Linked DNA regions of Xenopus tropicalis. The protein of the gene in region 2 purifies or fractionates together with the protein of the main gene of each other region. This does not show direct contact. Links are inferred from orthologs where the notes say so. Each region holds a gene or a part of one and is shown on either strand. Other genes may lie near its edges. The genes, in order: phf5a, sf3b6, snrpb2, prpf8, sf3b5, sf3b2 and ccdc97.

Region 1 (4,888 bases), on a different chromosome or scaffold from region 2:
TGATTTTACTCTACTGCACACAATTTCCTATGCAAGCCTATAGTACATGCCAAGGGATCATTTGGAAGATGGCTGTGCTGTGCTAATGAAATACACCACTATGCTAGTGCACCTTTCAGTAAAGAGGAGAGCAAGCCCAAAATCCAAGGTAACGGATTATATTCCTTAGGGACTCCCTAATTAATTCCTTACCCTTTAAGACTTGTAATACTATAACTATACATGGTAAGACTGAAAAATGTTACAAATCAATTAAACTCAAAAAGACAAGGCTATTCAGCTCCAACTCAATGGACTTTTAGTCCAGAACTGTTGCACTCTTGATTTGCAGCCATCCTGTTTGATAATTTAAAAAGGCAATGATTTGCACCCCATACCATGCTGTGATATATAGGTAATGAAAGACTAAAGGTCCCCATACACGGGCCGATAGTAGCTGCCGATATCAGTCCCTTGGGCCGATTCAGCAGCTAATTGGCCCGTGTAAGCGCACTCCCAACAGGCCTGCCCGACCGATATCTGGCCTCAAATTGGCCAGATCTCGATGGGGCAGGTTAGAAAATCTAGTTGGATCGTGGACCGCATCGGCTCATTGATGCAGTCCCCGGACCGACTTTTCCTATACCTGCTGTTATAATTCGATCATTTGGCCCCAGGGATCGAATTACCCTGGATTCTCCCGATATCGCCCACCCATAGGTGGGGGATATCGGGAGAAGATCCGCTCGCTTGGCGACATCGCCAAGCGAGCGGATCTTATGGTGTATGAGGACCTTAAGTCTAACCTTACATGCACCCCACAACTACACACACTTTTAAACAGACTGTAAATTCTTGATTTTCCCCACTCAGCAGATGTTAAGCAATGTCATTTTTTTAATAATGTCTAATGTAATACAACTGCTGAATATAGAATATATAATCAGATATATCAGAGATATCAGATATAGGACTGGCAGCAACACTTAAAAACCATTGCTTGTTGAGAAATAATCAGTTGCACAAAGAAGACAAAGGTGAAACATTTTTTGCATATGAACAAATGCAATTTATATTTTAAAAGTTTAAGAATTATATATACTCACATTTTTCACAGAGTCTTCCAATAGCTGCAATAGAAAATTATAAATGTAAGTGTTTATATATATATATATATATATATATATATATATATATATATATATATTAAACAGTGGTCATCATGTTGTACACATATCTTAAATATCTAAAATGCTTTAAAGGACATGTAAAACAAACAAAAATGTAATCAGTGAACAGCCTCATTGAAATCTTTAAATACCTGCCACTCCTGTTGTTCAAACGGTTAATAGAAAGGCTGCAGTATCCCCTTAATCACTTAGGATTTCTTTTCCTCCTCTAACCCGCTCTGCCCCATCCCTTATGAATTGACTTCGGCTGGTGGCTAACGAGCATGCTCAGTTCTTCTTAACTCAGGTTACCAAACACAGCCTCCAGTCTAGCAGCCAATGAAGAGATCACTGCTGGTTTCCCTAGAAACGCTGCTCTCGCTGTGTAATCTGCTGGAGCTCAGTTTACGGTTACAGGGCACAATCCAAGCAGGACTTCTTGTTAAAGTAACTTTAATATGTGCAATTTACAGATGTTAAAGGAAAAGGAAAGGCTAAGTCACTTGGGGGTGTCAAAACGTTAGGCACCCCCAAGTGACTTTAATTGCTTTCCTTTTACCCCGGGCTGGTGCCCCTGTTAGGAGAAAAACGCACCAGCCTGGGGTAGCTGCGAGTGTGGTCTCCTCTTCTTTCTTTGCGCACTTGCGCAGTAGAGTGAAAAGCCAAACTTTAACAAAAAAGTCGGCTTTTCACTCTACTGCACATGCACCGGCCCAGGGATTTTGATGAGAAGGAAGAGGAGACACTTGCTCACAGCTACCCAGTGCTGGTGCGGTTTTCTCCTAACAGGGGCACCACACAGGGTAAAAAGTAAGCGATTAAAGCCACGTGGGGCTGCCTAACATTTTTTTCTCCTTTAATGTCACTAAAGATGTGCGAGAGAGAATATGGCCACCGGGTAAAGCTGCTATTTGCTTTAGGAAAATGTGATGGTTTTGGCAAACAGAGGGGTTATATGCAGTACAAATGGTAAAGTTTGGTTGGGGGGGGGGGTATGTGCCAACTTATATACGTGGTAGGAAGATAAATGGTTTACATGTCCTTTGAAAGCTGTAGTAAAGACTAGCTTTACTAGCTCCAACAACTTGCCAGTACAAACATGAAATTAATTTATAAATTCAGTAAGGCATTAATTAACCTCAAATGGTATTGGCTGGAACTGTTTCAGTATTGTATGTACCGACGTATCATTGCATGTATAGTATCAGATTACCAGGAGGTCCACAACAATGAAAGCCCTAAGCTTTAGAATTCATTATCTGTTATGTTAAATACAATGTAGCTTTAGAAAAAGGAAAACATTAAAAAAAAATAAAAAATACAAATCTGTGTTTCTATAGCACGCTGTTTTTTTGCCATTACACAGGTCACAGAGTAATCTCACCCATTCGATGCACCTAAACATTGTGTTTTGTCATTTTCCCTCACATTCATAACATAAGAAATTCATGTTGGAAAGCACTTCAATAGTAACATTACTGTGCAGATCACCTCTGTAATTATAATAATCAACATTTCCCTTAAATAAGAAGTTAGGTTTCTCTGCAGATTTCTGCAAATATAGGACAAGTTCTGTTGCATGAGTTTAAATAGGAAAGTCAGATTGTGCTTTAGTAGAATTGCAATAATCAAGGAGTTAGCATTCAGCGTATAACTAGATCAGGTTCAAGCTCCACCTCTCAAACTACAATCTGAAACATAAATATACATAACAATTATAAAACTGAAGTATTGTGGATAACAAATAAAAGAGGGTTAATGAAGCCCTGTGAGGGAACACATATACCTGTTACATACGCATACAAGGAGAGTATACACAAGTACCGAACGTGCTATCCGAATGATTTAGAAAGGCAATCAATAGAAACGGCCAATCTATAATGCCTACGAGAGGAGAGTTTTCTGTCCTCAGTTTTACACCGTTACACCGAACACATTACCCAGCGCAACTCACCCACGCCCGCCTGTTTTCTGCAAAAAATCAAATCTGGATGATGCTTCGCCATGTCTGTTTAAATTCCTTTCCTTCGCCGGCCGCGCGTTCACTCCAGTTCTGTGTTCCAAGCCTCTTTCTCGCCCATGGACTTTACGTCATTTCCTTGCTGTTACGCCTAGGAAACTTAGCTTGTGGGTTCCAATTGGTTAAAGAATCGCTTAGACGCTTCTCTTCCTTCTTGTGCGATGAACTTTTACACCGGATATCCTGTTAATAGGCGTTTCGCTTTATAAAAGATTTGCGTTTTTTCGGCCCCATAGTACTGTTTCCTTTAAAGGGGCAGTCTACAGCTAAACATACTTTGCCAAAAATAAAGTACAATAAAGAAAATGCAATTAAAATATATTCTATGGGGCAGATTTATCGAAGTACGATGTTCATACGTTTAAAAAGCATGATACAAAAAAAATCGTATCAAATACGTTTTTTTGTATCATGCTTTTTGAAGTACGAAAAATTTGTATTTAAGAATATAATAAAATCGGATCTTTACGATATATATATTTATATTTGAACAGTCGTAAAATGTGGGAAAATCTTTCTGACTTTGATCCTTCTGTGCATGATTTTGGAAGCCTCCCATAGGACTCAATGGCACTCTGCAGCTCCAACCTGGCCCAAGGAAAGTCTCCCATAGGGCTCAATGGCACTCTGCAGCTCCAACCCGGCCCAAGGAAAGTCTCCCATAGGGCTCAATGGCACTCTGCAGCTCCAACCTGGCCCAAGGAAAGTCTCCCATAGGGCTCAATGGCACTCTGCAGCTCCAACCCGGCCCAAGGAAAGTCTCCCATAGGGCTCAATGGCACTCTGCAGCTCCAACCTGGCCCAAGGAAAGTCTCCCATAGGGCTCAATGGCACTCTGCAGCTCCAACCCGGCCCAAGGAAAGTCTCCCATAGGACTCAATGGCACTCTGCAGCTCCAACCCGGCCCAAGGAAAGTCTCCCATAGGGCTCAATGGCACTCTGCAGCTCCAACCCAGCCCAAGGAAAGTCTCCCATAGGGCTCAATAGCACTCTGCAGCTCCAACCTGGCCCAAGGAAAGTCTCCCATAGGGCTCAATGGCACTCTGCAGCTCCAACCTGGCCCAAGGAAAGTCTCCCATAGGGCTCAATGGCACTCTGCAGCTCCAACCTGGCCCAAGGAAAGTCTCCCATAGGGCTCAATGGCACTCTGCAGCTCCAACCTGGCCCAAGGAAAGTCTCCCATAGGGCTCAATGGCACTCTGCAGCTCCAACCTGGCCCAAGGAAAGTCTCCCATAGGGCTCAATGGCACTCTGCAGCTCCAACCTGGCCCAAGGCAAGTCTCCCATAGGGCTCAATGGCACTCTGCAGCTCCAACCTGGCCCAAGGAAAGTCTCCCATAGGGCTCAATGGCACTCTGCAGCTCCAACCTGGCCCAAGGCAAGTCTCCCATAGGGCTCAATGGCACTCTGCAGCTCCAACCTGGCCCAAGGAAAGTCTCCCATAGGGCTCAATGGCACTCTGCAGCTCCAACCTGGCCCAAGGAAAGTCTCCCATAGGGCTCAATGGCACTCTGCAGCTCCAACCCGGCCAAGGAAAGTCTCCCATAGGGCTCAATGGCACTCTGCAGCTCCAACCTGGCCCAAGGAAAGTCTCCCATAGGGCTCAATGGCACTCTGCAGCTCCAACCCGGCCCAAGGAAAGTCTCCCATAGGGCTCAATGGCACTCTGCAGCTCCAACCCGGCCCAAGGAAAGTCTCCCATAGGGCTCAATGGCACTCT
Region 2 (4,638 bases):
ATGTTCATTTGCTTATTGGGTAGAATAAAGTAGGTAAAGAGGGTCACACATATCATGAATTAAAAAGACATTATCATCAGAATAAATAGTCCCTAAAAAAATATCTTTTACCTGCTGTAATTTTTGTGCATTTTTGTGTGTGTGTGAAAAACATATTTCTTGGAACTCATGTGGCCACATATTTTCCTTTTCGCCAGTCCTTCTTTGGTTTATGGCAGAAATGTTATATTCAGCAAGAAAGGGAATTATCTGGGGGTTCATTCCATAGGTCTTTTAGCATTCAAAATAGATGTCTCTGTGATTAGAACACAACAACATACTCAAACTTACCTTGCTGGATTCAAGATTCAGTGTTGTGGAGACAACGGCGCCACCTTATGGACTTCACAAGGCTGCATTACAGCTTTGCCATAAGTAAAGTATTGCACATACTTTATACAGCAGGTTATAGCAGAAAAAGTGCACCAAGCAGGCAGATTGTAAGGCTTATTTAATAACATCAGTGCAGTTGCCCATAATCAGGAATTAGTTAATTCTGTCTACTACCAGTTATAAAATGAAAACAAAGATTGGGTGAGCCTGGTTTAGGCTACTACTTGCTTAGGCATTTAGTAAGAGCATACACATTGGAAACAAGGAACAGACTGGCTTCTAAAGTGCAAGCTCCTGCCCAGCAATCACTGCCAGGGAAGTGAAGGAGCCAAAAATGGTGTCCCTTGGCCCTGCTGTGCAGATTTGCATTTGGATACCAGGTATGGAGAAAAAGGGTCATTTCCAAAAGTTCTGGGTTATTGAGGATCCCTGAACTACAGGGAGTGTTGGGGAGAAAGAAGGGCACTACACACATTATTAAAGTAACATAGTGACACATCTGTGGGTTCAGGCAAATGCCAGAGGGGCTGCTATAAGATGCCATAGTCACTATTTATTGGGCTGGGGGGGCTGTTTGGGCCTCTGTGGACTTTAAATTCCAGACCTATTTGAATCCCAGTCTGGGCATGGAGACAAGTTTCTGCTAAATGAGAGAGGTGTTCCTCTGCCTCAAAGAGAAACCCCATCATTTATGCCAGACTATAAGGGCCCACATGGGCAGATACTGGCCGGTTACTTGGCCACTTATGATCAGGTCTCCAGCTTAATAGAATATCCCCTGCTCCAATCATTATCTGATCAAGCCTCGTTTATATATCAATCGGGATTGGGTGATGTCAGGGGTGTAAATTGGAAGCTGAAACTGTGCATGGGGAGCTGTGTGTGCGTCCACTTGCTGCCCCCAGAGGGCGCTCTACAGTGCTACAGTGCGCCAGCGCTGTAACTACCAAAGGACACGTGACTTCAGGAGGACGAATCAGCCTATCTCAGTAAGAGAAGTTGCCATTACGTCACACTCAGACTTCCTGTTCCGGTTTGTGCGTGTGGTGTTGGAAAGCGGATTGTTTTTATCGCGTCTGGGAAAGGTTTCTTATTCAGCGGCACCATGGCTATGCAAGCGGCCAAACGCGCCAATGTGAGTGTCAGGCTTTGGGGGTTTGTGGGGCGCCCCGATACGGCTATCATGCTCTGCTCATAAGGGCTATGGGGTACTGCTGCTTCTACCCCGGATACCGCAGCGCTTGTTCTGTGTACTGCGGGCTGTGCTGCGATTGGCTCTGTGGGGTTAGTTCTACCGCAGCTTTCCCTTCAGCCGTGACTTTACTATGTGTGTTACCCCAATGTTTCTATATATCTGTAACCTTGTTATGGGCTAAGGGGGCCCAGCCTGAAGGCCAGTTAGGGGGAGATTTGGGGTGAGTGCTTATTTGTGCCCTGGGTACCCCTGGAACTATAGCGGGGTGACTGTTACCCCAATGTTTCTATATATCTGTAACCTTGTTATGGGCTAAGGGGGCCCAGCCTGAAGGCCAGTTAGGGGGGGATTTGGGGTGAGTGCTTATTTGTGCCCTGGGTACCCCTGGAACTATAGCAGGGTGACTATTACCCCAATGTTTCTATATATCTGTAACCTTGTTATGGGCTAAGGGGGCCCAGCCTGAAGGCCAGTTAGGGGGGGATTTGGGGTGAGTGCTTATTTGTGCCCTGGGTACCCCTGGAACTATAGCAGGGTGACTGTTACCCCAATGTTTCTATATATCTGTAACCTTGTTATGGGCTAAGGGGGCCCAGCCTGAAGGCCAGTTAGGGGGGGATTTGGGGTGAGTGCTTATTTGTGCCCTGGGTACCCCTGGAACTATAGCAGGGTGACTGTTACCCCAATGTTTCTATATATCTGTAACCTTGTTATGGGCTAAGGGGGCCCAGCCTGAAGGCCAGTTAGGGGGGGATTTGGGGTGAGTGCTTATTTGTGCCCTGGGTACCCCTGGAACTATAGCAGGGTGACTATTACCCCAATGTTTCTATATATCTGTAACCTTGTTATGGGCTAAGGGGGCCCAGCCTGAAGGCCAGTTAGGGGGGGATTTGGGGTGAGTGCTTATTTGTGCCCTGGGTACCCCTGGAACTATAGCAGGGTGACTATTACCCCAATGTTTCTATATATCTGTAACCTTGTTATGGGCTAAGGGGGCCCAGCCTGAAGGCCAGTTAGGGGGGGATTTGGGGTGAGTGCTTATTTGTGCCCTGGGTACCCCTGGAACTATAGCAGGGTGACTGTTACCCCAATGTTTCTATATATCTGTAACCTTGTTATGGGCTAAGGGGGCCCAGCCTGAAGGCCAGTTAGGGGGGGATTTGGGGTGAGTGCTTATTTGTGCCCTGGGTACCCCTGGAACTATAGCAGGGTGACTGTTACCCCAATGTTTCTATATATCTGTAACCTTGTTATGGGCTAAGGGGGCCCAGCCTGAAGGCCAGTTAGGGGGGGATTTGGGGTGAGTGCTTATTTGTGCCCTGGGTACCCCTGGAACTATAGCGGGGTGACTGTTACCCCAATGTTTCTATATATCTGTAACCTTGTTATGGGCTAAGGGGGCCCAGCCTGAGGGCCACTGTCTCGTTGCCTGTGTGCACCCACTGAGAACTGTATTGTCTTAGTGATAGTTTCTGATTTATGCTGTTTGTGGGCAATAACTTCTTAAGAGATACTTTTTTATTCCGTGACTTGTCTGATGCTGCTTTGCTCTGTGATTTATTTGTGCATGTTTTTATATCATTAGTGCTTTATCCTGTGTGTGTAAATGTCACACTAACTGATATTAATACAACTCCTTCCCTTCTGTTTTACAGATACGCTTACCACCAGAAGTAAACAGAATTTTATACATTCGAAACTTGCCCTATAAAATTACTGGGGAGGAAATGTACGATATATTTGGCAAATATGGACCCATTCGACAGATCAGGGTGTAAGTAATCCTTTTTCTGCGAATATTACAGTGACAAACATAACCGGATGGAAAAGGTTTGTTTTTCAACTGAACAGTTGTTTAGCATTGTAGACTCATTCTTAAAGAAGACATATTGGATAGATGAAAAAAACTCTAATCTTGGGGGCAATTATGAATAATATCTGGTGCTGGTTTCACTTTGTTAAAAAATAATCCTATCTGTAAAAATTGGCACCTTTATTGGAGCTCCCTATAGATCCTCTCAGGTCCCTGTCTGTGTTTCAAATGAGGGGTGGGCATGTCCTAAAGGTCCCTGCCAGAAGCACAGTAAATGGGGGATAGCCAATCACAGCCTTGCAGTCACACAAGCAAAGACAGGCTTCAATTCCCTGTCGGGTCAGCCTAGCTGCTGATTGGTTCCTATCCTACAGTGCTGAGTGTCCAATGCAAATATGGCTTCCTATATATGTTATTACGTATATAGTGATTGCTTGTTCCCTGGACCATGGTTTTCTGCCGAATAATATAATGATGTAATGTTTTCCAAAGCCTATAATTGTCATTTTGCCCTATAAAAGGAAATCTAATTCTAAGGAAGTTTCCAAAAATGCAGTGTCTGCTCCGTGTGTTGCTCTGGTGTTTCTGAACTGTTCCAGAAGTTGTCTGTCTTGTGAATTTTGTTGTTAGCGTGAAGTCTTACAGCTCCTCTCTTTGCAGTGGGAACACGCCAGAAACCAGGGGCACGGCGTATGTGGTCTACGAAGACATATTTGATGCCAAGAACGCCTGTGATCATCTCTCCGGTTTCAACGTCTGTAACAGATACCTGGTTGTGTTGTATTACAACGCCAACAGGGTAAGCATTTGCATTCGTCTGGGGGTTGTGGGAGTGGGTGGTTTCTTTTGAGTTCCCTGTATTCACGCCCTCCTTTTATTGGGGCAAATAAGGATAAGTGCAAACTAGAGGAATAAATAACCACTTAAGGTCCCCATACACTTTAAGATCCGCTCGCTTGGCGATGTCGCCAACCGAGCGGATCTTCACCCGATATCCCACCTACGGGTGGGCGATATCGGGTAGCAAACGATCGAATTACATTTGCGGCCATGGGGCAGTCGGTTCAAGGACCGCATCAACGAGCCGATGCGGTCCCCGATCCGACCGGATTTTCTAACCTGCCCGATCGAGATCTGGCCAATTTCAGGCCAGATATCGGTCGGCCAGGCTGCTCGGTTCTGCCCATAAACGGGCCCATTAGCTGCCGAATCGGTCCAAGGGACCCATATCGGCAGCTACTATCGGCCCGTGTATGGG
Region 3 (4,941 bases), about 120 Mb from region 2:
TAAACTACAGTTTTATGCTTAATTATAAAAAAAAATATATATACATCTTTCAGTAAGTTTAGAACAGTTATATAAAGTTTTCTATACAGAGTGAGGTAAATCATAAAAATTCCTGGATGAGGAATAACTTACCATTGGTTTATTATAAAAAGGGAAACCCTGCAACTGCCGCAGAGCATTTGTAGCAGAACTCAGCTCTTTGAAGATTACAAACGCTTGTCCTCTCATTTTCATGGTCTTTAATGCCACAATGTCTACAACATGGCCAAACTGGGAGAATAGCGCATACAATGATCGCTTTAGTTCTGAAAAGAAAAAAAAAAAAAAAAACTTCACAGTATAAGTATAAAAACATGTATGGTTAAATCTCTTGCACGGATTTTGATAAGGTGAAAATAGAATATCAGTATTAGTTATTACATTTATTACTAAAACCAGTGCCATGGGATATTCTGCACAAGAAGCTTTTCTGTGCATATTAGTGATTATACAAATGACTGGGTGCGGCCGTGATTGCACATGTTGCCGACACTCTCTCCTTTCGTATTGCTTGCTGATTGCAGTGGTGCACATTTTAACTGAAGCACCTAGGCAGGCACCATCCTCAATAAAAAAAAAACATCTAAAATGATAAGAAATCGTTACTGATGGCCTTTTTACCTACTTGCTGCCATCAAATGCTAAGCACTGGTGAGCACTAGATCAATAAACAGCAATAATATCTAGGGCAAGAAGCATAATAAATAGCAGAAGAATAGTAGTATATGAAATGGAAAAAGTAGACTTCTGAGCAGATTTTTTTTTAAGTTAGTTTTACACTTTTAAAGCTTGAAGGATATTTAAGTTTGTTTGTTTTTCTTCATTTCTCTGCAGTTTTTACTATTTAGGGGAATACAAAGGATATAGGAGAGTAAAAAATGCCTTCACAGATAACAGCATAAGGAGTTGCAATACCAATGCTGCTGTCTAGATGTAAAGTGTACTCTGCCAGGAAAGACTGTATAGAGTGTAGACTGAGAGTGTATAATATTCAACATTTAAACGCTCCTCACACTTACCCGGTTTTTTTACTTTATCACAGAGGTTGTTGATGTAGACAGTGTGATTTGGCCGAATATCCATGGCTTGTATATTCTAAATACTGAAAGAGATGTTAAAAAAAAAAAAAAGGACCTTAGATATAGAAAAAAAGTACAGTATTACTCAAGGTTCTTTTCTCCTTGGAGATGGACTACTGTGCCACACACACATTTTTACCAGTGAGCCACATCCAAATGTAAAAAGAGCTGGGGAACAACACAAGCATGAAAAAAAAAAAAAAATTCCTTCTGGTGCCAAAAAAAGGCTGTTATTACCTCTTTGGTATTCCTTACGTGGACTGGCAGCCTAAAGGGACTCTGTTGGGCAGTACATCTGGTTTTTATGCAACCAAAACTCCAAGCCAGGAATTCAAAAATAAGCACCTGCTTTGGGGCCATTGGGAGCAACATGTTGCTTATGAGCCACTCATTGGGAATCACTTCCCTAGAGTAAAGCAATAATTTTCAAAAGCCAGGCACACTGTAATATTACCAAAACTAACCCGCCATGATATTGCACATTAGACAAGCCTGCGAACCACATCTGTCAGACCCACTTTCAGATCAGAATATTATTATTGTATATAACATGTGCCATGAAATTCCAACTGAATTCAACCTACATAAATCTATACATAAAACCAAATACATGCTTGTACAGGTATGAGATCTGTTATCTGGAAACCCATTATCCAGTTTATTAAAATAATTCACTATTTGAAAATATACTAAATTGTTCTCTGTTGTAATAAAACAGTACCTTGTACTTGTTCCCAACTAAATTATTTTTTTAGTAGACTTAAGGCATGGAGATCCAAATTATATAAAGACCCCTTATCTGGAAAAGCCCAGGGGTCCCATGCCTGTAATAGTATAATGCATGCTTTTAAATTGAATTTCTTTTTATAGCCTACAATTTCAGCAACACAGATAAGACTATAAGGCATAGCCCGGCATATTTTTCAATAAATATGAAATATACAGACTACTACAAAATAACATCCCATTATTAAAAACATGTAACTGCTGGATTTAGTAGTACAGGTATGGGACCTGTTATCCAGAATGCTCGGGACCTGGGGTTTTCTGGATAAGGGATATTTCCGTAATTTGGATCTCCATCACTTAACTCTGTTAAAAGTCATTTTAATATTGAATAAACCCAATAAGATTTTTTGCCTCCAATAAGGATTAATTATATCTTAGTTGGGATCAAGTACAGGTACTGTTTTATTATTACAGAGAAAAGGGAATCATTTAACCATTAAATAAACCCAATAGGGCTGTTCTGCCCCAATAAGGGGTAATTATATCTTAGTTGGGATCAAGTACAAGGTACTGTTTTATTATTACAGAGAAAAAGGAAATCATTTTATAAAATTAAAATGATTTGCTTATAATGGGGTCTAAGTGAGATGGCCTTTCCGTAATTCAGAACTTTCTGGATAATGGATCCCATACCTGTAGTATTATGATTTAGTCACTGCACTTTTCTCCCATACCCAACAATATACAGGCAAACTAGCCTGCCCCTGTGTATATTAGTGTGTGTATAATACACAATTATAAGCTTTAGTGCAGCTCTTTCCCAGCCATACACTGGCGACCCCCAGTCGCACACAGATCAGGGACAGCTCTATTGATTGGTTGCAATGTATGGAAACTGATTGCAGTTACAAATCAATCAATACCATTAATTACCACACGAAGTTGCCCCTTAACCGAGTTACAGCTACATATAAACCCGCACTACAGGCGCGTTTTATTCCAATAGCAACAGAACGGGCAGGAGTTGGACGTGGCTGCTGGGGAAGTTGTTGCTCATTACCCGCTGCCAGCTTCTCACCAAGCGAAGGAGCGGAACGTATAGAACTATTACCAAAAGAAACCCTCGTACAATGACAAACAAGCCCGGCAATCACCCATACAAGCTCCTTCCTTACCGCTCACACACGCTTCCGTGCGCCTTACGGCTCCAAGCTGGCGTCGCACGTTGATTTCCAGCAAACGCGCATTAGAACAGGAAAGAGACGTACGTCACGGCTCCGAGGTCACTTCGGCCATCTTTCGTAAGGGCAAAACCGCCTTCGCATAATTGATCATAAAGTTATTTTCTTTGACGTTTTGTACATTCCCAGGTTGCGACTAGAGTGTCATATAATAAACAACTGTTTTTGTCTTTCCGCCAAAATTTTAAGCACCTGTGTAATACAGTGGAACGGCGGTATTCATTATTAAATTATGGCAGGGAACGTTAGGGCAATACGTGGGGGTCAGGGCTGTTTTAAATTCATTTGGGAAGCAACAATAGTACAAATTTTACCTCATCTATAGTAACTTATGGCACCATTTCACCTGTATAAAATCAAACATGTATTGCTTGCTCTCTAGGTTACTGCAGCTGGGTAAATGTCCTTTATATTACATCTTGAGAAGAGGTGCACAAAACAAGCACACCAGAGCTGTTAACCAACCCCATGATAATGATCCACTCCATGCCTTTTTGAGTCCTTATTTCATGTTATCATATAGGGGCCCATTCATTTTTTTAGAAAAAAAAATAGCATTTTTCTATAGAACATTTCGGAATGTCCACAATAATTTCGCTCACATTCCACGACTTTTTTGTGATTTGCACTAACTTCGTATTTTTCGCAAAGACTACAACCATTTCGGGATTCATTCAACCTTTGGTATCGTGACTATCTTTTGGCCAGGTTGGAGCTGCAGAGTGCCATTGAGTCTTATGGAAGGCTTCCCAAAATCATGCATTGAAGGTTACAAAGCCAGAAAGGTTTTCACGCCATTTATGAACGTTCGGATCCGAAAATTTTGTGACTTTCGTAATGCAACCACAATATTTTGTTAGATGTGTCAGTGACATTGCACATACTCAGTGGGCTCTGGGCAGCTGTTGAGAAGCAAAGCTTAGGGGTTGTCAGAAATCAGAAAGCAGAAAATAAGGTTCTCCTGTTATTGAAGCTGATGCTACAGGGTTTATTATTAAATTCTGGAGCAAACTGTATTCCTTTCATGTAATAAAAATCTGGTTTAACAACTTATCAGCATTGTATTATGGCTTTTATCAGCATTTGCACCCCACATCTTTGTTAAGCTTTAGTTCTTTTTTGACCCCAATACAAGTGACAATTCTTTTACCAATATCTACTGTATTTTAGAGTCTACTCTAGCTCTAAAAATATATACAGTGTAACTACACAGCACTTTGGAGGGGCCTAGTCCACACTTTAACCCCATACTGATCCCCCACTCACCTGCATACATCCCCCACTCTCCACCACTCACTCTCACGTAGGAGAGCAGCCAGTGAGTGGGGATCTCCTTACACCTAAAGAGAAAGTAGACCATGTGGTCTGGGGCCCTTGTCTCCTGGACCCACCCCTGCAACTGTGGGGTCTGCTTCCTATATATTTACACCACTGGGGGTGCCAGTATAGATTTTGCAATTTAAAAAAGGCTGGAGGGCCTGACCTATAGAGAGATAACAAATGTTGCACATTAAAATTCCTTTGCGCTTTTTAACTACACCCAATCAGTTTTCACTTTAACACCCATTGCATTTTGTAGTTCTGCAATCTCCAGTATGTGTTTGTATCTCCCACAGCGGTCATCTAGATTCAGGGTCCTCACAGCAGGTTTTCTGCCTGATAAATGATATAAAGAAGACCACATGCTGCTGAGATCTCTAATACAACCGTTTTTGCACACACTTGGTGAAGCCCAACATTTTGTTGTGTCCTTCCCCCCCCTTCCCTTACTCAGGTTATTGAGAAGGGGAAAATACCATGCACCACCTGAACTTGGTACAATAATGTTGTATTATACATCTCAGCAGCATATT
Region 4 (4,311 bases), on a different chromosome or scaffold from region 2:
ATCTCTTCATACACGGTACAAATGAAACTGTTTTTGTGCTTCTGCAAAATCTTTTTTTTATTTATCTATTTCAATAACACATGACTTTTTCTGCAGGCATTCTCTCGATTAATTTTAATTCTAAGAGCCTTACATGTCAACAATGACCGTGCAAAAGTGATCTTGAAACCTGACAAGACCACTGTCACAGAGCCCCATCATATCTGGCCCACACTGACAGATGAGGAATGGATTAAGGTTGAAGTTCAGCTAAAGGATTTGATTTTAGCAGATTATGGAAAGAAGAACAAGTAAGACCTATATTTCATATCAAGCTGAAGTTCAAGGACTCTTTTTGTGTAGCTCCAGATGAAAGTAGCGCTATCCCACCCTGTGGGGCATAAGCAGTTTAGGCACATAATTTCCTTGGCCAATAACCCAGAGCACCATAAGAGGTTAATGGCCCCTCTAAGGGTCTTGAAGTGTATTCTGTAAATTAGCCATACTTCATCTTATTGGAAACAGATACCCTTGTTTTTATGTATATATGTGTGTAATAGTTAAACTTTTTACAGCAAACATGTTACACGACACATGTCCTTAGCACCCACACACTATGGTTGGTGTCATCTTATTACCTCCTTTTTTCTGATCCATTTTCATTTTAAATTATAGCGTAAATGTGGCCTCACTGACACAGTCTGAAATCAGAGACATCATTCTGGGTATGGAAATTTCTGCTCCATCCCAGCAAAGGCAGCAGATTGCAGAAATTGAAAAGCAAACAAAAGAACAGTCTCAGCTCACTGCTACTCAGACGCGCACTGTCAACAAACACGGAGATGAGATTATCACATCTACCACCAGCAACTACGAAACACAGACGTTCTCTTCAAAGACTGAGTGGCGAGTCAGGTATGTTAGCAAGGGTTGGGTTCCATTTATAATGCAACTGGAGGGCACAGGAACCTATACGGAGAAAGCTGCTCTCTTTAGCAAACTTCCTCTTCCATAGATCACTAGTGAAGTTTCTAGTTCTTAAGACAAATACAGTAAGATCTTTGTTATTTACAGAGCAATATCTGCTGCCAACCTTCACCTCCGAACCAATCACATCTATGTATCGTCTGATGACATTAAGGAAACTGGATACACCTACATATTGCCCAAAAATGTGCTTAAGAAATTCATTTGCATCTCTGATCTTAGAGCACAGGTTAGTAAACCTCATGGTGTCTTGCTATTAAACTGCTTCAGTGGAGATTTCAAGCAAAAGAAATTCAGTCTGGGCTTATCGATATTTATCTGAACGTTCTCTTCCGTGATTCCTATTCTAGATTGCTGGTTACCTGTATGGTGTGAGCCCCCCAGATAATCCCCAAGTGAAGGAAATCCGTTGCATTGTTATGGTGCCCCAGTGGGGAACTCATCAAACTGTCCACCTGCCAAGCCAGCTGCCCCAACATGAATACCTTAAGGTAGCACTGTAACCTTTTGTTTGTTTGTTTGTTTGTTTGTTTTGCTTTCTTGCCGCAGCCATATTTAAATCGCTTTCTTTCACTCTCTAGGAAATGGAGCCATTAGGATGGGTTCACACTCAGCCAAATGAGTCCCCACAGTTGTCACCTCAAGATGTCACCACCCATGCCAAAGTAATGGCTGACAATCCTGCCTGGGATGGAGAGAAAACCATAATCATTACTTGCAGGTAAGTACATATGCTAAATGCAGTGCCATATCCTTTGTTTTTTTCATTTGAAATTATTAGTTTTTTAGAAAGAAATAAAGCAATCAACAAATTTGTTGTGTACTTCTTGTGTACATTGTAAGCTTTTAAGTATGGTAACATATTGGTTTTGTACATTTTCCTTTTGTCATGGTTAAAACACATTTCTAACTGGCTGTAGTTAATTGGGTAGTGAAAGTTAGTAGGTTAAGTGGGGAAGAGATAGAAAAGTAAGTCTTTTTAAAATCTGGCAGCTGCATCTAGTGCTCAGTCTATTCCGTTACTGCACCATATGCACAGGCAGCATGCTGATGTTTCCTGTAATCTTACTAGTGCTAAATAGAAAGCTAAAGGACAAATACTGCTGGAAATGAATGTGTTTGGTAATAAGCTTGAAATGTAATGCTGTCTGTGTTCTCAGCTTTACTCCAGGTTCATGCACGTTAACCGCTTATAAACTGACTCCCAGTGGTTATGAATGGGGACGGCAAAACACAGATAAAGGAAACAATCCCAAGGGCTACTTGCCATCGCATTATGAGAGGGTCCAGATGCTGCTGTCTGATCGCTTCCTTGGGTTCTTCATGGTGCCAGCACAAGCGTCCTGGAACTACAACTTCATGGGTATGAATTCTATCATATATTCAACACTGCTATTCTTACTTCTGTCTCTGATATTTTATTATAAGCAAAGTCGATCAACTGGTTTGGGCTCTTATGTTTATTAGATGGTGTAGGTGCCATCATTTGGTCAGAGTACTGTTTATTGAACTTTTCTTGCAAATCCTTTTTGTTTTGTTTTTTCCCCATTCGGGCCCCCTTGTTTTAGTAAACATATCAAATATAAGTGAAAACTGTCTATCATGTGCATAGTCCTTTGCTATAGGCCTAAACATAACTTATTTACATTATATAGCAGTTTCATTAATTAAAAAAATTTAGAGCATTTAAACAAGTAATTATAATTTAACAGCAAAGGTCCCTCAGTCCTTTATGGCCCATTATTTACTCTCTGCTAATGTGTTTTGTGCTTTGGGTTCTATAGCTTGTGCTTTTTGCGATTATACAAAATTTTTCAAAAAAATCAGGAGGAGATATACCCATGTGCTGGCTTTCCTATTCTGGGGGAATCTGCTGTCCGTTTTTGTAGAACATTCTGTGAAGTTAAATATTCTAGTTTTCATTGTTTGCCGAAGCTTAGAAGTGCAAAGTTGTCACAGTAACCAATCAGCAGGTTGCTTGTGAAAGGTGTTGAAACAAGAAGTTGTATGTGAATAGGGAAGCCATTAGAAACCCACTGTACACTTTTGTGTCCTGTACACTATTTGGGATAATCTTGGCTAACTAAGTATTGCTTTGTAAGTTCATAGGAATGCCAGGAACCCCCATTTATCTTGCTAATAACTGCCTTTGTATAGGGAGTGCACAGCAATGGTTTAGGACTTTTTAACTTTGTTTCTTAAGTTTGTGTTACATTTTCTTTTAGGTGTGAGACATGACCCAAACATGAAATATGAGTTACAGCTGGCCAACCCGAAGGAGTTTTACCATGAAGTACACCGGCCATCGCATTTCCTAAACTTTGCTCTGCTGCAGGAGGGTGAGGTGTATTCGGCTGACCGGGAAGATCTGTATGCATAAATCTTCTATAAGAATATTCCCAAGGGCTTGGGTCACGGTTGATATTCAACATTAAGTGATTGAGCCCCTATTGACAGCAGACACCTCTTAGTCGTTCCTCGTGAGGCTATTAGTGCTTTGCTTCACTTCATATTTTGTCCAGTTTTTTCCTGCTGCATCTGTGTAGCAATTGTTTGAACAACTTCATTGTTAATATCTGTGGAAGCCTTTAGGCTCTGTATTTACCGATATTGATTTCTTTTTTTTTTTTTTTAATAAATATTTGTTCACACAGTGGCATTTGTTTTCCATTTAATACCTAGTTCTCCCATTTTGATCTTCCGGTTAGTTATTCACACCCCACCAGCAAGTCTTTACATGGCTGTTGTCAATGTGTGGAGTAAATGGGTTTCCCACAGTTAATTACACTTACAATGTTATGGTCCCTTACTGATTCCATTCTTCAGCTCTCTCGCCTACTACAGCTCATGGGCAACAGTGGTCCAGCATGTAGCTTTGGTTAAGATAATATGGAATACTGGACATTCATCATGTGATGCCTCAAGAAAGATGCTCCGCAAACCCAACTGGAGGGGCCTAGACAACAGCTTTTATAGGCCTATGAATAGCCACTTCTATTCTCTCTGAAGCTCAGGAAAGTTGCACCCTTACTGAGTCATGCTGTGCAGACAAGCAGCGAAATATTCAAGATGTCAACAATGAGACAGGCTCCATTTCCAGGCCACATACACTGGACCAGAATCCAGACTCTCCCTTGCACCTAACTAATGATCCAGCACTCTCACAACCGGTAACTGCAAGCATTCTTGCTGAACAATTCTCAGCATAACTCCCTCTCCTTGGCCATAGCAGAAGCTGTTAAAGGGGCAGTGCTTAAAACTAACTCAACTCTGTCCCGTAGAGTGTAAGTCTGAGTCTAGATCCGATAAGATTATCTAAATTCAATTTGATTTTTTCCTGTAGAC
Region 5 (3,238 bases), about 88 Mb from region 2:
ACCCCTCAACTGAAGCTTCTGGTAAACAACAAAACCCCTATTACTAAGTCAATAATTTATATTACCAGGCATCCCAACGTTTGAGCATGCACAGTAGAGTTAGATCTGGTGCACAAGTATATAGGTGGCCATACACGCTGTGATCGAATTATAACAACGGCATACGCGCAGTCTGACCGAGGACAGCAAAGTTGTCATTATGATGAACAGTTACAGTTCAATAACATCTGATCATTGGTGACGTAAACATTTAGTAACCCTGTTTATATTAAAACATTGTTATACTTACTTCTGCTATAGTTCCAGAGATATTGATATTAATCCCCAAATGCAGTGTCTTCCAGTCACAGTTTTAAATGTAGGGTATTTAAGTGGTGGTTTACCATTAAATTAACTTTTAGTATGGTATTAAATGCCCTATTCCCAGCAACTTTGCAATTGATTTTCATATTTTTTTTTTTTTTAAATTACATGCTTTTCTCTTCTGCCTCTTTCCGTCTTTAAAATGGGGTCACTAACACTGCCAGACAAAAACCATTGATCTGTGTGGCAATGGTTGGTTTTTTTTCCCCTGTCTATGCAGGCTTTCTCCTATTCATATTCCAGTTCAAACCACTGCCTAGGGTAAATAATAGCAACCAGATAGATGTAAGAATATGAAAACTGAAAGCAACTCAACAAAAAGCTATATAAAAAAAAACAATTATGAAGCCTAATTGCAACTGACCCTAGGGTTGCTGGCTACTAAAAGCACCCTGACTACGTTTACCTTTTCCAGTTTTTTTTTTTTTTTTGGGTGGGGGGGGGGATGGGCAGCTAGATTCTCTTCAAGAACACCAAACATAGCACCCTGACAATAACATTTTACATACTTATTAATCTAATAAGTGAACCACAGTGAACAATTAAAAAACTAACAAGGGTATGTTGTACAAGGATTCAACAAGAGTTGATTGTTTTATTACAAGTGATAAGCAGTTGAAAGAAAAGCCTAGATTAGTCGTACAAGGATTTCGAAGAGACTTCAGGCAAATGCACAAACGTCCTCAAAGTACTTTATCACGGACTCCTGGAATTCAGAAACTCCATTTAGAATTAGCACAGTCCTGCTTTATGATACACGCCTGTTGATTAGGCGGGAATCTCTTGCTTAAGTCCCGGAAACTTTAAGACGAACGGCGATAAGTTTGATCGACTCCAAGAACTCCATAACAGGCAGCCTCAGAGAAGAAACCATCGCCACGCTTAAGAGTCGTCGGGCTTATCAGCTGGGGGCCCACACGGCTGCAGCATCTTCTCCATCAGGTTAAAACGTACCCGTGCTTTACTTTCGTTCTCAGCCACGGCAAAGTAATTGAGCAGATCAAAGTGGCCCATGTAGGAGCAGTAAGAGTCTCTGTGCTGGTTCACCAGCCACTCCCACTTAGTAGTATCCGCATGGCCCGTGCCGATATACTTGGACTGCAGATGCTCCAGTTGGCTGTGAATAGTATATCGGTCTGTCATGGCGATGGCAAGCGCTAACAGCAAGCTCACTGTACACGACTTGGTGTTATGATATGCAGCGGTAGCGCCTTTGGCTTCCGGAGGACAAAAGAAGTCAGCGTGTTACAGCAGCCGGAAGTTACGTTGCTTCCGGGAGTGACCAATATATCGACGCCGACTAAAATAAATAAAGTTTCGTAATTTTGTAGTGTTTTGCTCATTTTCGCTTCAGCGATTGGCCCGCCTATTTCAAGCGAAATCGAAACTCCCTGCATGCTCAGTTGTGGGACACAGGGAGAGAACAGGCGGAAAGCTGTATGGAAAAATATAAAGTGGTTGCAGTTGGGTCAATTCTATAGGAATAAACCATTTTTTGAATAGTAACCTCCGCAACATGTTAACACATGAAACAATACCCAGCGGCATATAGATTACTCGCCTTCCAACCTTTACCTTTAAAGTGATAATATCCGTGATTTTAGCACACAGTCTTGCGATTTATTAAAGTTATATAAAGGCAAGGGTTCAATGTCCCCTCTAATTTCTTCTCAGTTATGTACACAAAAAATATTTTGTGCGCACAGTTTTTAATTTTTTGCATTCAGCATGTGTTTGTAAATGCATACATTAAAGTGATGTTAGAGCCCTAAGGGAGCAACTAAGACACTACCCATTTTAGACATGTAAACTTTGGCAGTATAAGGGCATTTCTGGCACATAATAACTTGGAGAGGCTTTTCACAGGGTTAAACACCGAAGGGTTAAATTGACCTATCAGTATATTCCTCTTGTAACAAGCAAAGATCTATTAAAGAAAAATTATTTTTGCTTGAAAGAAAAAGTTAGAACTGAAGTAGGTAATAAATGTGCTTTAAAGTAATTCAAGCTTGTTGAATCATTTTAGGTCTGTTACACATGGGGGAAATTTGTGCGTTTGATCAAAGTAAGTTGTGCCTGCGTAAGGCAGCATTCTTCATTGCATGAACTTTGTAGTGCACATGAGCTGTTTGCAGATGTAAATGTCACTGATGATGTCAGAAGGAAAATGGCTGCCAGGTAAAAGACACTATTTGCTTTAGGGATATGTAATGGTGCTGACAAACACAGGGGATATATGCAGTACAAATGGAGTTGTTTGGGTGCCCAACTTATATATATATGGTAGGAAAATGTATGGTTTACATGTCCTTTAAATTGCACAAGTGGAAAGTAGGCAAGCAATATTGTTAACAAACTAAATAAAGTAATAAAATAAAAAAAAGAAAAAGGAAAGGAAAAGGAGAAAAAAAATTACCTTAAAATCTGAGGAAAATAGCTCAACAGTAAAGAGTTCTGCTAAAATTTGCAGAAATTAAAGTTGCGCCTTTTCTGAGATTTACTGTTTCAAAATGACTAAAAATACAAATCTAAGAATTTCCAGTTAAACTTGCCAAGATCATGTAGAAGTCAATGGCAGATGTCCGTTGAGACAGGTGCCCCATGCCAGTAGCGGGGACTGACTGTTTATGTATATAGTTTTACTTCAGTTGCAGTCAGTACAAGGTATTTATAAATAGATCCAGCATTGTGTCATGATGGCTATCCTCAGAGCGAAGGGGTCTGTGAATTCCAACAGCCAATGGAGGCCAATAAGAGGAACTCAAGAAAAGAAACCGGTGACTGGGGACTTGCCAGTTGAAGTTTTCAGTTAGGAGTTTTTCTAGTTTAAATAAAGAAGTTATTTTCTCTTGCAATTGTGGTTACTGGTGAGCAG
Region 6 (4,188 bases), on a different chromosome or scaffold from region 2:
AGAGCTGGTTTTGTATTCATGGATCTGGAGGACTTGTACAGAAATTAACACTGGCCAAAGAATACAGATTAACCCTCTGAAGGTTATGGCAGCAATTCAACATCTTTCTGCATCAAAAATTTGAATGGGGGCAAAATAAACACCCATATAAAGTATAAGCCCAATTAATAGGCCTTATGTTATATATACCCCTGAGCTACCTTTGTACTGAATGGAAGGTTTTTTTGTTCATTTTTGTTTTTGGATCTGGAATAGTACATTTTTATAGAATGCTCTCTTCGTTACCATTGCTAGGGGAATGCTCCTTTCCTAGCATTTCATTCAGGAATACATTTCTTTTTATATGCTCCCTTCAACAGAAACAATATCCATTTTGATTGTTAAACAGGAGTGTGTACTGGACCATTAAACTGAAATTTACATTTTCATTTATTTAAATTTGTTGTGAAGTAAATGATTTGCATGAAAGTAGTAGCATATTTCCACATGAAAATTGGACCCATATGATGCAAATCCAGATAAGAGAATATGTTTGGAAAAGGAAGCTGTGGAAGAAGAAGCCATAAAAGGGCAATAGATAAATACATACCTGGAAATCTGAGGCATTGGTCCCAAACACATCACCATAAAGAGGTTTTCCCATTTCATCCACAGGGGGTTTTCCCCAACCTCCAGCATGATATCCAAAGGAACAGCCCTGTGGGAATGAATTAAAAAAAAAGTGAATAGTGAGAAAGGATGTGGAAAAAAGGTAGAAACAACAAAAACAGTAGAAAAGGAAAAAGACGCATACAGCTGAGTGAGAAAAGAAATGACTTACCTCTGGTATGGGGGAGTTAAGCCCTGGTATTTTAAGGTTGGGGTAAGAGGGGGGTGGTCCATATCTTTGCATTGCAATAAGCCAGGGAGGGGGCACTTTATGGGCATTCTGAGGAACAAAAAAGAAAACTGAGTACTGTTTTATGCATATTACTATCCCATACAATAAATATTAACCCCATGGACAAGAATGTTTTGAAATATAAGTATACTTAACTATCTTATCTATATTGTAAATGGCACATAAAATGAACAAGGATGTTATCAGCATGGACACTATATATACATACCAGCCACTCAAACAGCCCTAAATGAATGCATGGTGAAATGAAACATGTAGCATGAGAGCACTATGGCAATGAGTATGAGAATATGTTTTTTCAAATTAAAGCTACTTTATTGTCTATATTACTAAACCTTGGCATTTCTCATTATGGCACAAAAAAAATGTCAGGGATAAATTGAACTCACTGGACCCACAGGCATTCCTAGCGTAATCCTTAGCTCATCAGAGAGATCACCTGGTTTTTTCTCCTTCAGGCGGGTCTCAAACTCCTTCCCCTGTGAGTTAGTAAAAAAAAAAAAAAAAAAAAAAAAAAAGAAACAAAAACACGTGGAATGTTGATTAAGACTGCTCGCTGTATACACAGCATAATAAAATTTTGTATGATAGAATTTTACACACATTTATGGTATTTCCTATGAAAAAAATTAGCACACCATTTACACCCAATATCTTACCAGCTAGTTTAACGAGTATCAGTGAGTATCAGTGGGTATCAGTGGGTATCAGTCCCCCCCCCCCCACAAACACACACAACTTACCTCATAATATAAATCTCCATGAATAGTAAGCTTGGGTTTGCTCTGCCATTTGAAAAACGCATCATGCAACTTTTGATAGTCAATGTCAATTTTTCCCATCTTCGGCCTCACCTTCTCCCTCATTTTAGATTTCATGGTTTTTTGCTCTTCCTAGGGCGAAAAAAATATAAAACAATGTAATACATAAATACGTAATAGGATGCAGTTCTAAATGTGCTGCTTTGCTGAAGGTGACCTAGCTATCTTACTGTAACTGCTACCCACTTATTATTTAGTAATACCATTGCTAAATGATTTTTAAATGTCAAAATACAAACAATTTTATTAAGTAGAGTGGTCTGTTCACTTAACTACCTTTACCATAAACACCACCAAAAAGTTACCTAATTTGCTGTTTTTTTTTTTTTTTTTACCATTTCCTACCTTTTCCTGTAGTGCTTCCCTCATCTCCTGTATGCCTGTTCTCTTGATGAAATCAGGGAGTTGGAAAGGAGGTTTTTCAATACCCCTTTTTCCTTGAAGATATTTTCGTTTGAAACACCAGTGACGTGGAACAGGGACCGAATTTCGAGTTCCTTTTAGATGAACTAGTAGTTTGGGATCTGGAGCAGTGACATCGTGCATTTCTACCACATCTGGTCGTGATACCAACTGATATGAGAAAGATGGATTAGTGAGGAAGATACCAGAGGGCACTAAGAAATTCACACAGGCAACAATTTTAATGTTGAAAAAATGTTCCTGGGATAAACTAATTTTCCCTTTTTACAAATGTTTCATACAAAACAGCAAATATACCAAATCTATCAAGACAAGGTATCATGTTGTATGATAAACATAGTGGTTCATTAATGCATAATACATTATATAGACGTTATTGTGCCAGGATCTGGTGTTTGCTCTTCCCCACAGCTACTTTTCTTGGTTTTTGAATTTAACAGAGCAGATTTAATAAGGGTGGAGCTGCTATCAATTGTCTTATACCACAATTACAGAACTGAGTGAACTTTTCTTCAGTAATGCAGAAACTAACTAATTAAAAGCACTAAATTGAAATAACAGTTTGTTTTGAAATTCCATGCATTCATTATCCCTCCTTACACCCATCAGCCCTTACCTGTTTTAGTTCGGCTACTGTAAATCTGTTCATTCTTCTCAATTTTTTTTTAGACAATTTGGGAGCATCTTGCTTTTTATCCTAGTAATACAATTAGAAAAAGTGTGTTACACATCATAGGAAACCATAATATGAGCAACACAAGATTTAAGCACAATCTGAACAGGAAGCAGTTAAGCAAATACAGGTGTTTCTAAGATAGAGCAAGGCTATTCTGTATGTGAGAATAATAACAGTTCTTCATGTTTGCAAAACTGTATAAACAGTTTTCTAATCTGTAATCTGTTATGTTAGCTATACCCATTTATATCAATTATAGCTAAAAAACAGGATTAGTATAAGCACTTGCTAAGAACTGTACACATATTAACATAAAGAGTGCAATTTTCACCTCTTCATCACTGTCGCTGTCATTGTCCATCTGTTCCTCCTCAAATCGTTTTCTCGGAGCTGCTGGTTCAATTTTCTCCACCTTTTCAGGCTCCTTCTCTTTCTCCCGTTTCACATCATCTGTCAGCTGTATAATTTAAAAATGTTAGTAACTGGAGGACTGCGTGCCCCAAGCCTTCAGGGCTTTTATATAGTGGCTCAAATAAGCTAGATAGTCATAGGTAACATAAAAAGGAACCCACCAAAGTGGGTCCTACATGAACAAGCACACCATGGTAGAAGCTTTGCAAGACCTATAAGTGAAATAATTACCCTTTCATTAATTCAGTTAATAAACTCCCTGAAATTATGGAATATGACCTGTAAAGACATATTCTTACATTCAAACCATCAGCCATAAGGTTAGAATGTGCCTGAAAGATGTCTGGCCACAAACACCTTGCATTTACCTTAAAGGCCTGGAATATTCTCTTGAAGAAGATAAAGTTGGGATCATAGATATCAGGTTCTTCTGTCACATATTCTATCTCCAGTTTTCCACCTGCAAGATCAGGTTCGGCAGCTTCATTAAGCTCATCAACTACTGCAGATTCTGAGCCAACCATTCTCTTACGTGTTCGCTTCTTTCGGTTTCTCCTTCTTCGATTTTTTTTCTTTAGACACAAATCAACAAATATATATATATAAAACCTTCTGCAAACATAATTAATTTGAAAAACACAAACATGGAAACAGACACTGCAGCAGCAAATTCTGCCTTTCTGTAAACAAAAACCTTACAGGTCACTCTTTTGCATATCAGTCTTAAAAAAACTACAAGAGTGAACAGTATTATGAATACACAATAATAACATATAGGAAGTTCAGGCTACTACTATTGCCTGTGTGTGAATCATGCCCTCAGAGGCTTTATGGTAAATTCTTACCAAAACAAATAAAAATTATTTATAATGTTAACAAAACAATATAAATTATACAATATACAAAGACATGTTTGATTTCAGAATAATGTCTGACCTCTTTTTTACTTAGGACAT
Region 7 (4,659 bases), on a different chromosome or scaffold from region 2:
CACTTGACAGAGAGCGAAAGATGATGTGTGTTGCTCAATCCATACCTGTAGTCAAAATCTCGATCCTTTCCATCTAGAAATCTCTGGTGCATGCGACTGATGAATTCTTCCCTCATCAGTGCTCTTTCTTCACTGTTCACTGAGCACTCTTCATCAGACTCTATTTCACTCTCTAACAGACAAGTGAGGGATCAGTATTAGGAAGTAAAGGATTTATATATATATATATATATCTCTATTTTATTTTTTAATGGTTTCATTTTACAATGTATGAGAAAACATTTTAACGCAATCCTCATGGACTTGTGGTTAACTTGGGCACTAACTTTTGGCTAGAAATCTACAGAGATGTGACACTGTGTCTGACTATGAATATTTTTAGACAGTGCTATACAGCACTGTGCAAAAAGATTACATATACCTTTTTATAGACTAAGATAGTCATAGATTAATTCCCATTTTTTGGAAGTGGCATCTGAGTTAAAGCCAGCTCTGACTTGAGAACAGTGTATTCCTTATCTAAGCACATCCTACTGGGTAGTTCACCTTAAAGTTAACTTTTAAAATGGTGTAGTCAATGAAGTTTTTTGAATGAATCTGTAAAATGTCTTATAAAAGGTTGTTCACCTTTTGCAAAGTCCTACCAAAGTAGCTGTAGTGCTTAGAGCTACAGCTGTCATAGCTAAAGTTATTTGTCTGTTTTCCCTTTACTGTTGATCTCTGCAAGAGAGCTTAACCCAGAGGTTTGGTAAGTGCAATCTTTACTCTTTCATATAATATGAAACTTTCTGCCAAATAAATATGTTTAGAAAAGTATTTCTTTTGCAAAATCCTTATTTATTCACCCTTATCTGAAGGCAATCTCCCCAATTAAAGGCAAATAATGTTCTAATGGTACAAAAAGAAACTGAAAATGGACATTATTATTATTATTAATAAAGTACAGCTCTATGTACTCACCCACACATTGAATATACCAGAAAAAAAATTAACACAACCACAAATTCATCCTTGTGGTCAAGTAAATAATAAAATTTATAAAATGAGTTTACTCAGACAGGCACTGTTCTTTAATACACAAAAATACATACAAACTTGTTTAGGCTAGGGTGTGTTTTAGTAGTCAGAACACTGACCTTCCTCATCTTCATCCTCTTCTTCCTCCATGCAGCTCTCTTCCAGCTCTCTCTGAGCCTTCAGCCTACACTGAAGGGCCTGTTCCTGGCATGAATTAAGAAGAACAGTGGAGAGGCTGGTGGCTTCAGACATGTCCTTGCTGTTCTGGGACATTATCTCCTCCTCACTCTGGTATTGCCCCACATAATGCTCATACATAAGAGGGTCCCGTTCCCGCATCTGCTCATCACTGAAATATTCACCCGCTGAATAAAAAATGCACAAAAACAAGTGAAATTAAAAAGCATTTTTATGCTAATAAACATTTTCATTTCATTATATTCACATCACTATATATGAAGCCTACCTTCCAAAATCAAATACTACACTAAGTAATTATCCTATACAACTAAAAAACTATACTGGTAAGTCATCATACAAGGCTAAATAGAATAGTAAGTGGTCCCCAAGAAAAGTAAAAACAACAATTTTGGGATTACCCACCCACAAGGGCAATTCTGCCCCCCACTGCACCTTTCTGAAAACTGCACGTTACAGTATGGGCAAAAATACTTAAATTACAAAGTCTTGAAATCTCCTGCTCTGAGCCAGTTAAATGTCACACACATTGTTGTGTGACTCAACCAGCTCAGCACAGGCAATTTTAAAAACCCTTTTAATTTAAAAGTATTTGGGGGCGTTTTGCCAGTTACAGGGAGCTTGATGTCCCTATTACCATTATAAAAATTTACATTATCTTACCCGTGATTAGCTTCTGGAGTGCTGCATACCTCTTGTTTCGGACCCGAGTGTGATCAACCCTTTTGAGGGATGCTTTGCAAATCTCTTTGCAATAGTAATCTGCTGTGTAATCCCCAGAAAGGTGGTTGAAGCACTCTAGGTGTTCCTCTTTAAGGACCTTACGAAAACGCTCCAGGAAGATTAGAGGTTTGGATTCATAAAGTTCAAGAAGCATCGTCAACTTTTGCTCTTGGCTAAATTCTGGCTCCCCCTTCTGCTGGCTTCTGATCTGCACATTACTGTTGCTGATAGCCATAAACATATCCAAAAGAATTCCTTCAAGCTGTGTTGGATCTTGTTGAACAGGACCTTCACGACAACCCAATCGTTTGGCTTCCTTCAGTGCTTTTTCCAAAACTTCACTATCCTCACTCTGCTTGTTCTTGGACAAATACTCACTTTCATGAACTCCGAGGTCCCCCACTATGGCTTTATCTTCCTCCAACACATTCATATTATGCTCTGTGATATCTATTGATGAAAATGACAATATTTAGATACGGGGCAGCAATTACATACTTAAGTTCAAACAAGGGATTTTGTACCAGTTTATTTTCTGCTCATAATCCATTGCAGGAGGAAGGGCACTTGCATTGAAACAAAACTTTAGCAAGCTCCCTCCTTCACATTCCTCTGGTAAGTTTTTGAGCAATAAAAGCAAGTAGAAATCCCAGCTGCAAATCCAGCTGATGGAACTGAGTTTATAAACATAAAAGAAGAGATTTCAAGATGCATCATGTTATCATAATTCAAACTATTGACACCTTGTGCAAGACAACCAAACCTGGCAGTACAGTGGCTGCTTATTTATTCACACAAAATAAATGACGTATAAACCTTTATTGTAGAAGCTTTGGAGATAAGCAATTCAGAAAGTCTTATGGAAAATGTATTATACCATCGGGAAGGGCCGCCATTGGGAAGGACAGGAGGGCCAGTCGTCCCGTGCTTTGGGTGTTATGGGGTGCCGGCTATGCTACATTTACGGGCCCCCTGTTGTCACTGATCTGCAAACTTTAGGAAGGGGGAAGTTGCTAGAACGCCTGCATGTTTTTTCCCCTGTACAGCTTCTATGCCGCCCAATAGTCCCACTTTTCCTAACACGGCCACAGTCCAGGAACGTAACCCACAGCTCCCTCAAAATGATTAACTGCAGCCTTCCACTCTCCTGTTTCACAGAAAATCCCGAAGTCACACATCTCATCACGCGAGACTGGCGCTGCGACTACGCGAAAGCGTAATGACGTAACCTTACCCCTTACGCCTTGTGGGAGAGGCGGGGCCGCGTAACTCAGTGTTACAGTGACAGAAGCTGCAGTTATATTGTGGTAGCTGTCTAGTTATTCTCTGCATGTACCTCCTAATTCTTTAAGGGAACTGTAATATAAAAAAGAGTGTTTTTTGCCATGCCCCTTGCCATTTAAGTTCCCAATTGTCTTGTCTTTTATATTTTCTGCTTGTAGTTACAATATATTTTTCCTGGTTGCTCAGAGTACCCTGCTGAAGTTAGAGGCTTTACTCAACAATTTAACCAAAATGTCTTATTTCCAGCAATGTAGCAATTGGTCTTCATTATTTATGTGTTATAGTTTTTTAATGATTTGCCTTCCTCTTTAGTCACTGACATTTGTAGCCATAACACTATTGCTTTCTGAGCTTACAATTTTCCAAATGTCCCAGAAGCAATTTTATTTTTTTATTCAAACACACATGGGTAGATTGTGTTACACAGCAGCAGTAAATACAAATACCTCCCAACAGTGCTACTTTTCTTTACACAACTCCGCAGTCCTGGATCGCTGTTTAAATGTCCTGCAACACTGCTGCAACATCCAGCTTCTTAGCTCTTTTCAGAAGTCACAACTATTAATTTGCAAGACTGTGACATTACATAGCCGCTTTGCGGAAGTAAAGAGCAAGGATAGGATGTGTCAGCATCACAAAAGTTTATGTATAAGATGCTAGCATTACTCTGAGCTTGGCAGGTTTTGGGCATCTGCTCAAACTTTTTTTTTCAACTTCAGTGAAAAGAAAGACTTTTGTTTGTGATTGTTGCCAGCCATGCCAGCTGCCACCAAAGCCTCAGCTCCCAATATTTGTTCAAAACAAATTGATCAACTAACTCAATGCGGTCCCCGAACTGACTGTGCCTATTACCAGCATTCTAATTCGATTGTTTGGCCCCAGGGCCAAACGACCGATTTAGCCTAAATGCACACGATATCGTCCACCCCTAGGTTGCCAATGATACCTGCAGGAAGCTATCACATCCTACTCTCCTGCTGACCAAAAAGGAAAAAGTTTTATGCAAACTAAAGATAAGTGAGATTAATAAAACTTTAGGTTTCTTGTATCTGAGTGACTTTTTGCAAACAAAAGGCAATGGGTATCTTTGCCCAATGGTATTCTTGACTGTTTAGGCTTTGTTTAGAGTGCCATCAATACTGTATGTTTTTTGTACAAACAACTACCATTTGATTTGTCACAATTTAGAGACAGAACAAGAGTTATTTGAGGTGCAACTGACAAAAAGTAATAAGGTACTCTTTATTTACACTGGTTCTTACTCTTGTGCAGGTTCCTTGTCAGTTCTGCAGCTACAAAAATTCATTGGTTAAGACCTGTGCTGGTAAGGGTTTTACCCTGTTGACAACAGTTACTCATAATAGACTGCTACTGTTAATTTGAGTTCTGGCCCCATCGGGCATTTCTGGCCCCTGAGCTTCTTGAGGCAGCTCCTGC

What was found.
Region 1: the proteins of sf3b6 (region 2) and phf5a purify together in Homo sapiens (affinity purification with mass spectrometry; 4 studies listed by BioGRID and IntAct, with this or other methods). This does not show direct contact. The link is inferred for Xenopus tropicalis from reciprocal best matches to the Homo sapiens genes SF3B6 and PHF5A.
Region 3: the proteins of sf3b6 (region 2) and snrpb2 purify together in Homo sapiens (affinity purification with mass spectrometry; 4 studies listed by BioGRID and IntAct, with this or other methods). This does not show direct contact. The link is inferred for Xenopus tropicalis from reciprocal best matches to the Homo sapiens genes SF3B6 and SNRPB2.
Region 4: the proteins of sf3b6 (region 2) and prpf8 fractionate together in Homo sapiens (co-fractionation; 3 studies listed by BioGRID, with this or other methods). This does not show direct contact. The link is inferred for Xenopus tropicalis from reciprocal best matches to the Homo sapiens genes SF3B6 and PRPF8.
Region 5: the proteins of sf3b6 (region 2) and sf3b5 fractionate together in Homo sapiens (co-fractionation; 5 studies listed by BioGRID and IntAct, with this or other methods). This does not show direct contact. The link is inferred for Xenopus tropicalis from reciprocal best matches to the Homo sapiens genes SF3B6 and SF3B5.
Region 6: the proteins of sf3b6 (region 2) and sf3b2 fractionate together in Homo sapiens (co-fractionation; 5 studies listed by BioGRID and IntAct, with this or other methods). This does not show direct contact. The link is inferred for Xenopus tropicalis from reciprocal best matches to the Homo sapiens genes SF3B6 and SF3B2.
Region 7: the proteins of sf3b6 (region 2) and ccdc97 purify together in Homo sapiens (affinity purification with mass spectrometry; 3 studies listed by BioGRID and IntAct, counting the BioPlex papers as one, with this or other methods). This does not show direct contact. The link is inferred for Xenopus tropicalis from reciprocal best matches to the Homo sapiens genes SF3B6 and CCDC97.

Annotation. Positions count from the first base shown.
Region 1 is NC_030680.2:120,351,030-120,355,917, reverse strand, and holds the start of phf5a (PHD finger-like domain-containing protein 5A), read right to left. Parts: upstream 3,289-4,888; 5' UTR 3,155-3,288; coding exon 3,103-3,154; intron 1,110-3,102; coding exon 1,086-1,109; intron 1-1,085.
Region 2 is NC_030681.2:145,721,568-145,726,205, reverse strand, and holds the start of sf3b6 (splicing factor 3B subunit 6), read left to right. Parts: upstream 1-1,460; 5' UTR 1,461-1,477; coding exon 1,478-1,507; intron 1,508-3,222; coding exon 3,223-3,341; intron 3,342-4,040; coding exon 4,041-4,179; intron 4,180-4,638.
Region 3 is NC_030681.2:29,851,732-29,856,672, reverse strand, and holds the start of snrpb2 (U2 small nuclear ribonucleoprotein B''), read right to left. Parts: upstream 3,062-4,941; 5' UTR 3,023-3,061; intron 3,021-3,022; exon of another isoform or gene 2,771-3,020; intron 1,142-2,770; 5' UTR 1,123-1,141; coding exon 1,059-1,122; intron 306-1,058; coding exon 133-305; intron 1-132. UniProt on the Homo sapiens protein: Involved in pre-mRNA splicing as component of the spliceosome. Associated with sn-RNP U2, where it contributes to the binding of stem loop IV of U2 snRNA.
Region 4 is NC_030678.2:45,537,271-45,541,581, forward strand, and holds the end of prpf8 (pre-mRNA-processing-splicing factor 8), read left to right. Parts: coding exon 1-15; intron 16-96; coding exon 97-290; intron 291-654; coding exon 655-894; intron 895-1,053; coding exon 1,054-1,195; intron 1,196-1,316; coding exon 1,317-1,457; intron 1,458-1,547; coding exon 1,548-1,687; intron 1,688-2,126; coding exon 2,127-2,329; intron 2,330-3,191; coding exon 3,192-3,346; 3' UTR 3,347-3,622; downstream 3,623-4,311. UniProt on the Homo sapiens protein: Plays a role in pre-mRNA splicing as core component of precatalytic, catalytic and postcatalytic spliceosomal complexes, both of the predominant U2-type spliceosome and the minor U12-type spliceosome.
Region 5 is NC_030681.2:58,016,988-58,020,225, reverse strand, and holds sf3b5 (splicing factor 3B subunit 5), read right to left. Parts: upstream 1,509-3,238; 5' UTR 1,507-1,508; coding exon 1,246-1,506; 3' UTR 931-1,245; downstream 1-930. UniProt on the Homo sapiens protein: Component of the 17S U2 SnRNP complex of the spliceosome, a large ribonucleoprotein complex that removes introns from transcribed pre-mRNAs.
Region 6 is NC_030680.2:40,084,706-40,088,893, forward strand, and holds part of sf3b2 (splicing factor 3B subunit 2), read right to left. Parts: coding exon 4,169-4,188; intron 3,805-4,168; coding exon 3,601-3,804; intron 3,279-3,600; coding exon 3,153-3,278; intron 2,843-3,152; coding exon 2,762-2,842; intron 2,296-2,761; coding exon 2,068-2,295; intron 1,795-2,067; coding exon 1,645-1,794; intron 1,381-1,644; coding exon 1,291-1,380; intron 929-1,290; coding exon 821-928; intron 698-820; coding exon 590-697; intron 1-589. UniProt on the Homo sapiens protein: Component of the 17S U2 SnRNP complex of the spliceosome, a large ribonucleoprotein complex that removes introns from transcribed pre-mRNAs.
Region 7 is NC_030684.2:79,243,853-79,248,511, reverse strand, and holds the start of ccdc97 (coiled-coil domain-containing protein 97), read right to left. Parts: upstream 3,043-4,659; 5' UTR 2,835-3,042; coding exon 2,816-2,834; exon of another isoform or gene 2,755-2,815; intron 2,389-2,754; coding exon 1,879-2,388; intron 1,383-1,878; coding exon 1,137-1,382; intron 173-1,136; coding exon 46-172; intron 1-45. UniProt on the Homo sapiens protein: May play a role pre-mRNA splicing through the association with the splicing factor SF3B complex which is involved in branch-site recognition.